Linked DNA regions of Tribolium castaneum. The protein of the gene in region 2 purifies or fractionates together with the protein of the main gene of each other region. This does not show direct contact. Links are inferred from orthologs where the notes say so. Each region holds a gene or a part of one and is shown on either strand. Other genes may lie near its edges.

Region 1 (4,730 bases), on a different chromosome or scaffold from region 2:
TACATTATAATGAGCATAATATAATGCTGCAGCCATATGATGGCAAGCCACGTTGCCCCTTGGGCAGGTACAATGTGCCGTCTTAACCCCTTCTTCTAGGTCATATGAAATCTAAAACACACTTTGTAGAAGAAATGTCTAACAGTTAAATAAATACAAACCTCCACAGTATAATTTAGCTTTTTCATGCTCGGTAGAACTTCTGCAGAAATTCTCATCGGTTGTACTGTGCCATCAAACCTAAATTTGGTGACGTGACCGCTGGTAAAAGCATTTTCTCCCCGAACTAAAAAGCGATTACCGTCCCCAAAAAATTTCGCAATAAAGTGAAACTTAACAATGTGCTTTTCTGCCACTAAAATGCATAAATATAATAGTTTCTCAAAGTATAATTAAAGCTTACTCACTTTCTCACCGACAACGTGGTTCCCTGTATTCTTTTATAAAGTTCGTATTTTCACAAAAAGTCACTTCTAAATTAAATTAAAGTCTCTAGTGGCACAAATTACACCCGCTGCAGCTATTTGACACGTTATTAACGCACAAACACAACCAAAAAACCGAAAAACGTATTACACCACATGTAAAAGACTGGTTGTTTAGCTTTGAGCAACTGACCTACCGTAATAAGAGTGGGGAGGTGACGTCACGACTGATAGCGCGTATGAAGTAAATCAAACGACTTAATTTCACAGGCCATTTCGATAAAAAAATTAGAAAGCATGGTATAAAAATAAAAAACCTAATTCAAAAGAAAGCATCTTTATTCGTTTAGAATCAAGTGGGACAGTTTACAGGTCTATGGTACATAATATGGGTTACTTTTTGTACTTTAAATCCGATATGTATAGCATATGGGGGGTTGTTCTATTTAAGTTAGGTAATAATAAATAATGTAATAAATTAATTGAGTAAACCTAAGATAAGAAATATGCCTACATATTGCTTTTGATTATTTCGTGAGACTAAGGCTAAATTAAACCTATTTTAGTCTTATTATGATTAATGAGATAACTGTAAATACTATAACTTGTCCGCTACAATAGTCACAGATAACTTTTTGTCGGGCCATGAGAATGTTTTTGGTAAAGAAAGCGCCTCTGGAGTGGCCAGAACTTGAAAAGTAACCGCCATATCCTGAGCTAAATCGTCGGTAATAAGTATTTGTAGCCATGAACCCTGAGCTACATAAGGGTGTTCTGAGTTCACCAACGTCCCTGTAACCGTACCTGCCACTAGTGTTATGGCAGTTTCACCCAAAACTGACTTAAATGTGAAATGTCTACCATGTCGTACGCGCCCCCTTTTCAAAAATAAAAAATAGAAACAACACCAACACGTAAAATTCCCTCACCTGATGGCCAAAGGGAGTAAACTCCCAGCCTCCAAATTAAAAACCAAATGGACGCCCTCTAATTTCTTTATGTGCAACAACTCAGTTGACTCGTCCATTTTGAAATTGGTGCTACTGGAGCGGTTTTGTTCAAAGTTGCCACTCTGTAGCGGTTTTTGAGGTGAATTTAACAGAGTTACGTCCTCTTGAGCTTGGAAATTGTCACAATCGGACTTTTCTTTCAAATGCATTATGTCAATACGAGCAGGGTCTTGCTCAACCCATGAACACCTAGCGCTGACTCCGCTCAAATTGGAGCCCTCTAACTCAAACCCTCGCTCGACTTCCTCGTGCGCGTTTAAATCAAGCTCAAAAATGCTCTCCCCTCGCCTCATATCCGTGATAAACCAAGGCCCCCCAGCACTAAAACCCAGACTTAAGTTTTACGAAAACGTGATTGGTGGTGCGATTTACGACGGTATTCTAGTTATCATATCAAGCACCCCGGCCCCGTTCCACTGCTGGGCTGCTTTCAGCTCCTCGGCGCAAATACCAACAATTTGGACGAAATCGACAGAACCAAAAGGCGTCTGTATTGACTTCAAATGCACGTCTGTGGTCATCAACATGTGCTGTATTCGTGACTCGCTGCTATCTAACGCGCAGTGCCAGGAAACGTGGTCACCAGCACAAAGAGTGTTGCCTGACTGAAAAACGTATTTCGCTAAAGATTGCATTAAAGTTGCGGGCCAGGTGGGCGGTGCCGTCTCTTCAGGCTCCCGTTTTAGCCTAAATGTTAGCTCAAAACCAAAACCTGAAACACCATTAGCTCCTGACACGTCGTGCACTCGCCCGTCACCGTGAAGGTCTGAGAGACCAAAACTAAAATTTTCGTTTATTAAATATTTCACTTAAAAGATTGCTACCTTATGTAGTGCCAATGTGGAGGAATGTTTTCTTGTGGAATGCCTGGATTTGCATACATTGATATGTAATCTAAAGGATCGGGCCCTCCCAGCCTATAAAAAAGTATCCCCTCGTTTAAAAATAAAATAGGTCAGCTCCCCTGTTTACATACAAGGGAAGCAGACAGAAAAAACAGGAAGTGACTATAAATAGAACCTGAGTCAAATTTTAATTTAATGGAAATTTCGCACAATTATAAGCCCGGCAATTGCCAAAATAATTACATGTACGTTAAATTAAACGAATTATGTAATTTTATTGCAAAAATCACTTGCCAGTACTTGATGAGGGCCGTGACTTGAAGGGGGTTGGCTTGATCGGGGTAAATTTTCCTACATAGCGTGTACAAAGACTCCAAACCTGCTGGTGTCGGTGGCAGAATGTTCATTGGGGGTCCATGGGGCAGAGCAGCAGCTTCATTCATTGTTCTATTGGGCCCCCCCAACTTTAAAACTTTACAAACCAACACCTCTACTTACTAGAAATCGGCAGAAAGTATTATATTTAGCCGTTTGTTACCACTTTAGAACATTTTACACTTCCGTCCAGACCAATAAAAGAAAATATTTCAAGAATGCAGGAACAACTTTTAGGCAACCCGCCAAACAAAACAAGAGTAACCTGGCTCGGTAACTCACCAAACAGAAATTTCCCTAGAGCCCGTTCGAAAAGTGGGTGCAAGGGGTGGCTTTTGGCGTTGTTAGGTTGCTTGTCGTTGCGACAATTAAACTAACCTCTAATCCAGCAGTCAAAATAAGGACATTTTTGTATTTCTCAATCGTTGCGAAATTATTATCGTTGAAACGCTTCGCGGTTTTTGCACGAAATTGTGTTAGTTTCCGCGTTTGTGTAATGTAGGTGTTGGGAGCGTTATCGATCGCCACAATGTTGGATTCTTCGCCTGAAGACGAAGATTTTCCAGGCCGGCTCCTACACCAGGTTCGTTCCTTTAACTAGTTAATTTGCAAAATTTGATTGTTGTTTTAAGGCCGCGTTATGGGACAACACACATTTACTCATGGACTTGCTAGAAGGGGGCCAACAGGCCTTCCTGAACTCGCAGGACAGTTGGGGGAGAACCCCCCTACATGCAGCTGCTATTAATGATAATTCAGGGTGTTTGACAATTTTACTAAATGCAGGGGCCGATCCTAACATTCGGTGCGGCCCAAGAGGCGACCAGAAGGTTTGTTTTTAATTAATTTTAGCAGTTGTAGGAAAATAATTGCTCTCGTTTTAGATTCCTTTGCATTTAAGTGCCGAACATGGGCATAACAGTAATGTCTCAATTTTACTGCAGCATGATTCAGATATTCAAATTCTGGATGCGAATGGAATGAGTGCTCTCGATCTGGCTGAAAAAGCGGGGCATGTGAAGTGTGTAACACTATTGAAAGAAGCTGTGGGTAAGTAAATAATCCCTATTCAATTTTTTTCTCAGGGTTATATACTGCTCAACGAATACTTATTGTCAGTGATTATAAACTCTTGTACAACAGGACATTATGTAATATAATGTACATAAAAAATGTACATTTTCTGAGTGACTTAATTTAAAAGTATTTGTATGTCTTGGAACACTTTGTAGTTATTATTTAGATTAATTTAAAAGCCGGAAGAATACTTTCCAACTTTTGTTTTTATTAGTGTATAACATTTTTTTATACAAACTCTCTACTTTGGAATTTTAAACATACTGTGACTGATTAACACAACAAATAAAATTGGCCAAAATAAAAGTGAAGACGCAATAAAAAAATGTTACTCAAAAGTGTAAACTTTGAGACATATTAATAAAATTTGCCTAAGTCACGAATTACATGCTGTATTTGTGTTTGCATTAAATCTCTATCAATTAAATTAACGGAAATACCTTAAATTATTAGATAAGCCAATTCTTTTTATAAAACAGTGTCTATTTGTACTTAAGATTAAATCTTAATACAATTTTTAAGACTTCGTTCTACATAATAATTTTGCTACCAATTTTGTTTGTGTGATCAACTAAGCCATTTTTTAAAACATTTTTTTTAAATTGATGTAATTAATTCATTAGTAAAAGTATTTTACTAATTATGCTTTTTTTAAACGGATTAATTAAGATGAGTACCTAGGAAGGTACGGCACTAAATGAGAATTTTTTCGGGTTATTCTTGATTACATAATCCAGTCATATGAACACTGCAAAATTTTATCTATTTAACTACGTTTAATTATTATTTTTATTTCGAGATTTTTGTCATAATATTGTTGCTCAGAGTACAGTAATTACTAACTGGTAATTACAAGGCTAGTTTTTATATTTTTTCCATTTTTAAAATTAAGCCGTACTTAATTTGTATGTATAACTGTATATTTAAAAAAGAGGCTCATTGCTCCATGAACTTTGTAAATTAATCTAAGCAGGTGTCATTTTGGCTCTCGTGGCTGC
Region 2 (4,864 bases):
GATAAACCACGATTACATCATTATTGTCCTACCCTAGCCTACAATAAATTACAATTAGTTCTTGTTGGTTTTCTGCAGAATGATTTTGTTTTTCTCAATGGTGACCTTGGCCTGTGGGGGCACCGATTGCAGCTGTCTCGGAACGGTCTCCTGGCGGTATCGCGTCCACTTCGCTATGAACCTATTCTTGTCCACTTGTTTACTGGCGCCTGCCACTTGAACCGTCACTGCGGAATGTCTCGACCCCAAGACCCGACTTATCCTCTCATTATCAGCCCCATCTCCCGTCAGGTTCCTCAAGACCAAGTACAACTTGTCTTCGTGTTGTTGCTGGAGCGAGGCTATCCTCCGTTCAGCGTCAGACCTAACCAGTTGTAAGTTATGACTGAGTTTTTGCACACGATATGCGAGATTTTCGTGTTGGTTTTCAATATCCAAAATCTCCAAATCGAGCTTTTTGCTGCTGCTCCTCAAATCGATAATCTTCTCGAAATATCTATGAAGGAGGATCCTCATTTCGTTCTCACTCAGTTTGAGGAACCGCTCCATCAGCATCCGATCGCCATGATCCTCAATCTCTTTGACTGGCAGGTGCCCACACAAAATCGAGTTTTTGTATTCTATGATCAAGTCTATTGCCTCAATAGCCTCCTCGTACTGCAGCAACTTGCGTTCGTCGGAGTCGTTCAGGAATTTTTTATTCTGGGATTTGAGCGTGATTTTGCACCGCAATTCTAATAAATAGTCGCGGGTTTTGCGCAAGTTGCGAATTTCGTGTCTCAGACTTTCAAGTTCTTCGCTATTTAGCGAAACGTTTGGTTTAATTAAAGCAACGACTTTAACATCGGGGGTTTTCGGCACGCTCTCGCAACTCGCTTTCGACTTAGAGCGCTCCTCCTTCAGCTGTTTCTCGTAGATTTGTTTATACTTTTCTTTCTCTTGTTTGTACTTTTTCAACTTCTCCCGATCTGTATGTAGACTACTTTCTAATTCTAGCAATTTGTTCCCGTCTTCGGTCAGGTTTTTCAACGATTCGGTGTCTCGCAGTCGCTCCTCAAGGGCCACAACTTCGCTCTTGTATTTCCCTTCCAAGTGGTGATTTTTTTGTAATTTCGCTTGCAAGAACTTGACCTCGGCGTTTTTATACTCCTTGCGTAACAACTGGCATTTTTGTTCGATTTTATGGTGAGCACTCGATTTTGTGTCTTTGTGCTTCAGGAGCTTTTCCATGAGGTTTTCCTTGACCCGAATTGTTTTTTCCAAATCAGAGATCTTTTTTTGATTCAATTCTAACGCAGTGGCGATTTGTTTAAGGATTTTCTTCTTGTTATCGTACGACGTAACTGCGATTTTTTGACTCTCGACATCGTCATTAATACGTAACGTATTGAGGGACAAGCAAGGGTTTAGTTCTTCAGCCGAGTGGATACTCCCTCTGCGCCCCCGTGCCCCCTTCATATGATACTCATTATTCGAGCTATTCATACTTTCTTTGGTACAAGAATTCGTAACGTTTGCACAATTAGCCTCAGAGACTAATTTATCGGTGTTTGAGCGAAAAGTCTCCATCAAACCTTGAACCCTATCAAGGAGACTCTCCTTCTCCTCCTCCTCAATCGCCTCGCTCTCACTACTATCACTCTCAATTTCCTCCTCAATCCGCTCGAGTGATCTATGAGGCTCTGAATTTTCACTCAAACAGTCTTCGCATTCTTGTTTGAGCATCAACCACTGTGATATTTGTTCTTGTTCGCTTTTTGGTAACAAGTCGTTCGCTACCAATCGTTGGAACAACTCTTCAGCGTTCGAGACAAGTTTCAGGAGTTGATTGGCGGCGAACTGTAGGCCGAAAACATCACAATTCTCTTGTGTTGACTCAAACGTAGCGTATGAGTTAACAGTGACGAAATTTTTGATCATTTGAGCCCTCAAACCCAACTGAAGTGTATACAAAGTCTCGGTGAAGTCTTGAGCAAGGGGGGACACGCAACAGATCAGAAGTGTCTTTGCGCGCCCCCCGAACGAGTCTTTCAGTAGTGTCGTCAAAACGGATTGAGTGTACGGCACAAAACTGCAGTTAAAATCAGACAGCGACATAATACACCTCTGTAAAGTCTGTATCCCTAAATCAGTGGGAATCGTTTGCATCATCCCGTTGCTGTCATAAACTAGAACTTTCTCAGTCCCTGCCAAATCGGCAAAACTCGCAGTTGAGACGCGATGTTGCACACTTGTCTCCACCACCCACTGCTGCTCCAAAGTGAGTGTGAACAACGTGTGGGCGCACTTGGGGGCTATATTCGACATTCCGACTTGAATCAACTGAAACACGTCACTGATATTCCGGCACTCGATGCTCCCAACGCCTAGCAAATCCTGGACGTTTTCGCCACAAATCTGCGACCAAGCGATATGCACGCACCAATTCCTGTCTCTGTATTGTTTCATTTTGGCGAAAACTTCGCGAATAAACCGCGGGATAATCCCGTGATCAGCCTCGCTAGCCGCACAGTGGAAACCTGGGCCTAGGAGCGTGTAGGACTTTCCAGTCCCGGACTGGCCCAGCGTGACCACCGAAACATCGCACCCTTCCACCAAATAATTCACCAAAGGGGCTGCCGTGGTTGTGAACACCGTGTTTTGGCAACAGTCGGCTGGAAGGGCGTAATTGACGGGGTAGTTTTGCGAATTCGCGAGTTGGATGGTGTTGTTGACGGGGTTGGAGTGCACGCAAACCATGTCGTTGGGGGAGTAGCCCGACGTATGGATGCGGACCGCCGTTTCTATGTGCATCTCCATCCTGGGAGAATTCAACCCATTGTATAACCTAAAATTTACAATTGAGTTGGGGGCTGGATAGTGGTGGGAATTACATAATGGGGGCGAAGTACCTGGCGGTTGCGGCGGTTTGGGTTAATTTATTAAAAATCAATGGATTTTAAATGCATTTTACAGCTGCCTCAAACAACACAACTGGGGAGTTTGGGTTTAGCACTAGGAGGGAACAAAATGGAGGATTTAAATAAAAGCGGCAAACGAGTTAATTAATCATTTTTATTAGACTATTTATGAATTAACATTTTTATTTCTTCTTCAAAGGCCCCCCTAAGTCGTCCAGTTCCTGTTTCAATTGTTTCAACTCCGTGTCAGGCACGTATCTAATCTCCTCGTCCCACTCTTCATGAGGCCGCACGTGGACGGTGATCCCCGATGGGGTACTAGCCTCCAGTGCACGTAAAATAACAGGCAACTGCAAATACGTGCCAGTTTCAAGCATTTCACTTTGAAAAATTAAATACCTGAGTTGATAAAACATCAGTAATTTGTACTGTCCGATCATAGTGCTTCAAATTGTACTGTGTGTTGATAATTTCACTCTTCGGTTTATAGGTCGTGACTTGAATGTCTTGATGGGGGGTTGCCCAAGCTTCCTCCACACTTATATCCATACTTCGCAATAATTTATGAATAAACTTTTGATAATTTTCCAATATGGCATAATCGTAGCCACGAATTTGAATATTTAAAGTGTCGTACATTGGAAGATTCGATTTCATGGCCTAAAAAATGTTTTTTGGGTAACTTTAAGAGGTTATATTTGGTTACCTCGAGATAATCGGGCTCGTAGAGGTTGTTCCCGAATGATTTGGGCGTCTGGTGCAAGAAACGGCATTGAAGAGCCCTACGTGTGACCCTCAATAAATTATTCATAGTATAAACTGGAGAACTTAAATTCTTTAGCGGTTACCTCCAACAAATTTGAGGTTATGTGGTCCACTTTTTTTTGATTTTGATTATAAATAAAGATAAAAAAACAACAAAACCTTTATTTAAATTTTTCTGTTACAAGATGTAAATGTAAACGTTACAAATGGTCGCTATCTGGAGACTATGGAATGTGATTTGCGTAATTGCCGATTATTAAACAGAAAAATTATTCCTTTACTTTGAAGATCTTTTGTACGTTACATAAATATTCCCTCCTGATCGCATATTGGTAATAAAAATAGAGTTTTCTACTAAAGTAAACATACAAAATCTGGAAAAAATATTTGTGGTTCATAAAAACAGTAATGACTCGTCAATCTATTAATTACCAAATAAATGCAGAGACTCGCCAGAATGAACAAGAAGTAGAGTCTGCTATCAGCTTTAGCCTACGATTGAATACTTTACTTTATTTCTCAATAAAAGACAATTTACCTTTTTCACTTTGACAAACGGCAAATATTGTGCTATGTAATATTCGTCGCTTATTTCAGGCAAGTTTTCCGTCACTAATTTATAAACCTGATCCATGGCAATCCCCATGTGGTTCAAAACGGGGCTTACATGATGCACATAGAAAGCCACAAAAGGCCCAACGTACGTATCAAAAGTCTGGTCAAGAAATTGCCTAAGCGATTGTGGTGGTTGTTTAACGCTTTCAGCGGCTATATTTTCTCCAGTCGAGATAGTAAACCTCGGAAAAGTAAAGTAACGGGTGCAGGTTTTCTCGTTTTTACCTAAAAATACCGCAGTTATGGATTGTTACGCATAACCGACTCACTTGTCTCGGAGCATATCGGGAAGTAGTATGCGTGTCCGAAATTTAGGCAAAAGACAAGAAAAAGTGCTGAAATGACTTTCATCACGATGATTTTTCTAATAAAATTATGCCAAACAAATTTTGAAAAATTTAGTAACTTTCGTTACTAGGTTTTGCGCTAGCAACTTTAGCTGCGTGAATCACGCATGTTGGCGAAATTGTACGGTTGTGATTGAAAAGGAGCTGCGAAAGGGGTGAACGAAAGGGGAGTTCGAAATTTAAATTTATTCACGTTTTGGTAATTGCCATTTAAATTTAATAATCAATACTGCAGAA

What was found. Proteins that work in one complex are often made in the same cells at the same time.
Region 1: the proteins of cos (region 2) and Su(fu) purify together in Drosophila melanogaster (affinity purification with western blotting; 3 studies listed by BioGRID, with this or other methods). This does not show direct contact. The link is inferred for Tribolium castaneum from reciprocal best matches to the Drosophila melanogaster genes cos and Su(fu).

Annotation. Positions count from the first base shown.
Region 1 is NC_087397.1:4,508,045-4,512,774, reverse strand, and holds Su(fu) (suppressor of fused homolog), read right to left. Parts: upstream 2,970-4,730; 5' UTR 2,724-2,969; coding exon 2,575-2,723; intron 2,353-2,574; coding exon 2,260-2,352; intron 2,216-2,259; coding exon 1,808-2,215; intron 1,757-1,807; coding exon 1,355-1,756; intron 1,304-1,354; coding exon 1,024-1,303; 3' UTR 747-1,023; downstream 1-746. Other genes in the region: uncharacterized protein LOC107399185, read right to left, coding at 1-111, 162-355, 408-408; Lrrk (leucine-rich repeat serine/threonine-protein kinase 1), read left to right, coding at 3,185-3,238, 3,288-3,485, 3,540-3,705.
Region 2 is NC_087402.1:2,906,724-2,911,587, forward strand, and holds the start of cos (kinesin-like protein costa), read right to left. Parts: upstream 3,007-4,864; 5' UTR 2,876-3,006; coding exon 2,874-2,875; exon of another isoform or gene 2,828-2,873; coding exon 55-2,827; 3' UTR 1-54. Other genes in the region: mRpL48 (large ribosomal subunit protein mL48), read right to left, coding at 3,083-3,250, 3,300-3,560, 3,607-3,711; uncharacterized protein LOC103312599, read right to left, coding at 3,935-4,039, 4,098-4,157, 4,204-4,505, 4,550-4,631. UniProt on the Drosophila melanogaster protein: Regulates cubitus interruptus (ci) processing by recruiting multiple kinases to promote its efficient phosphorylation.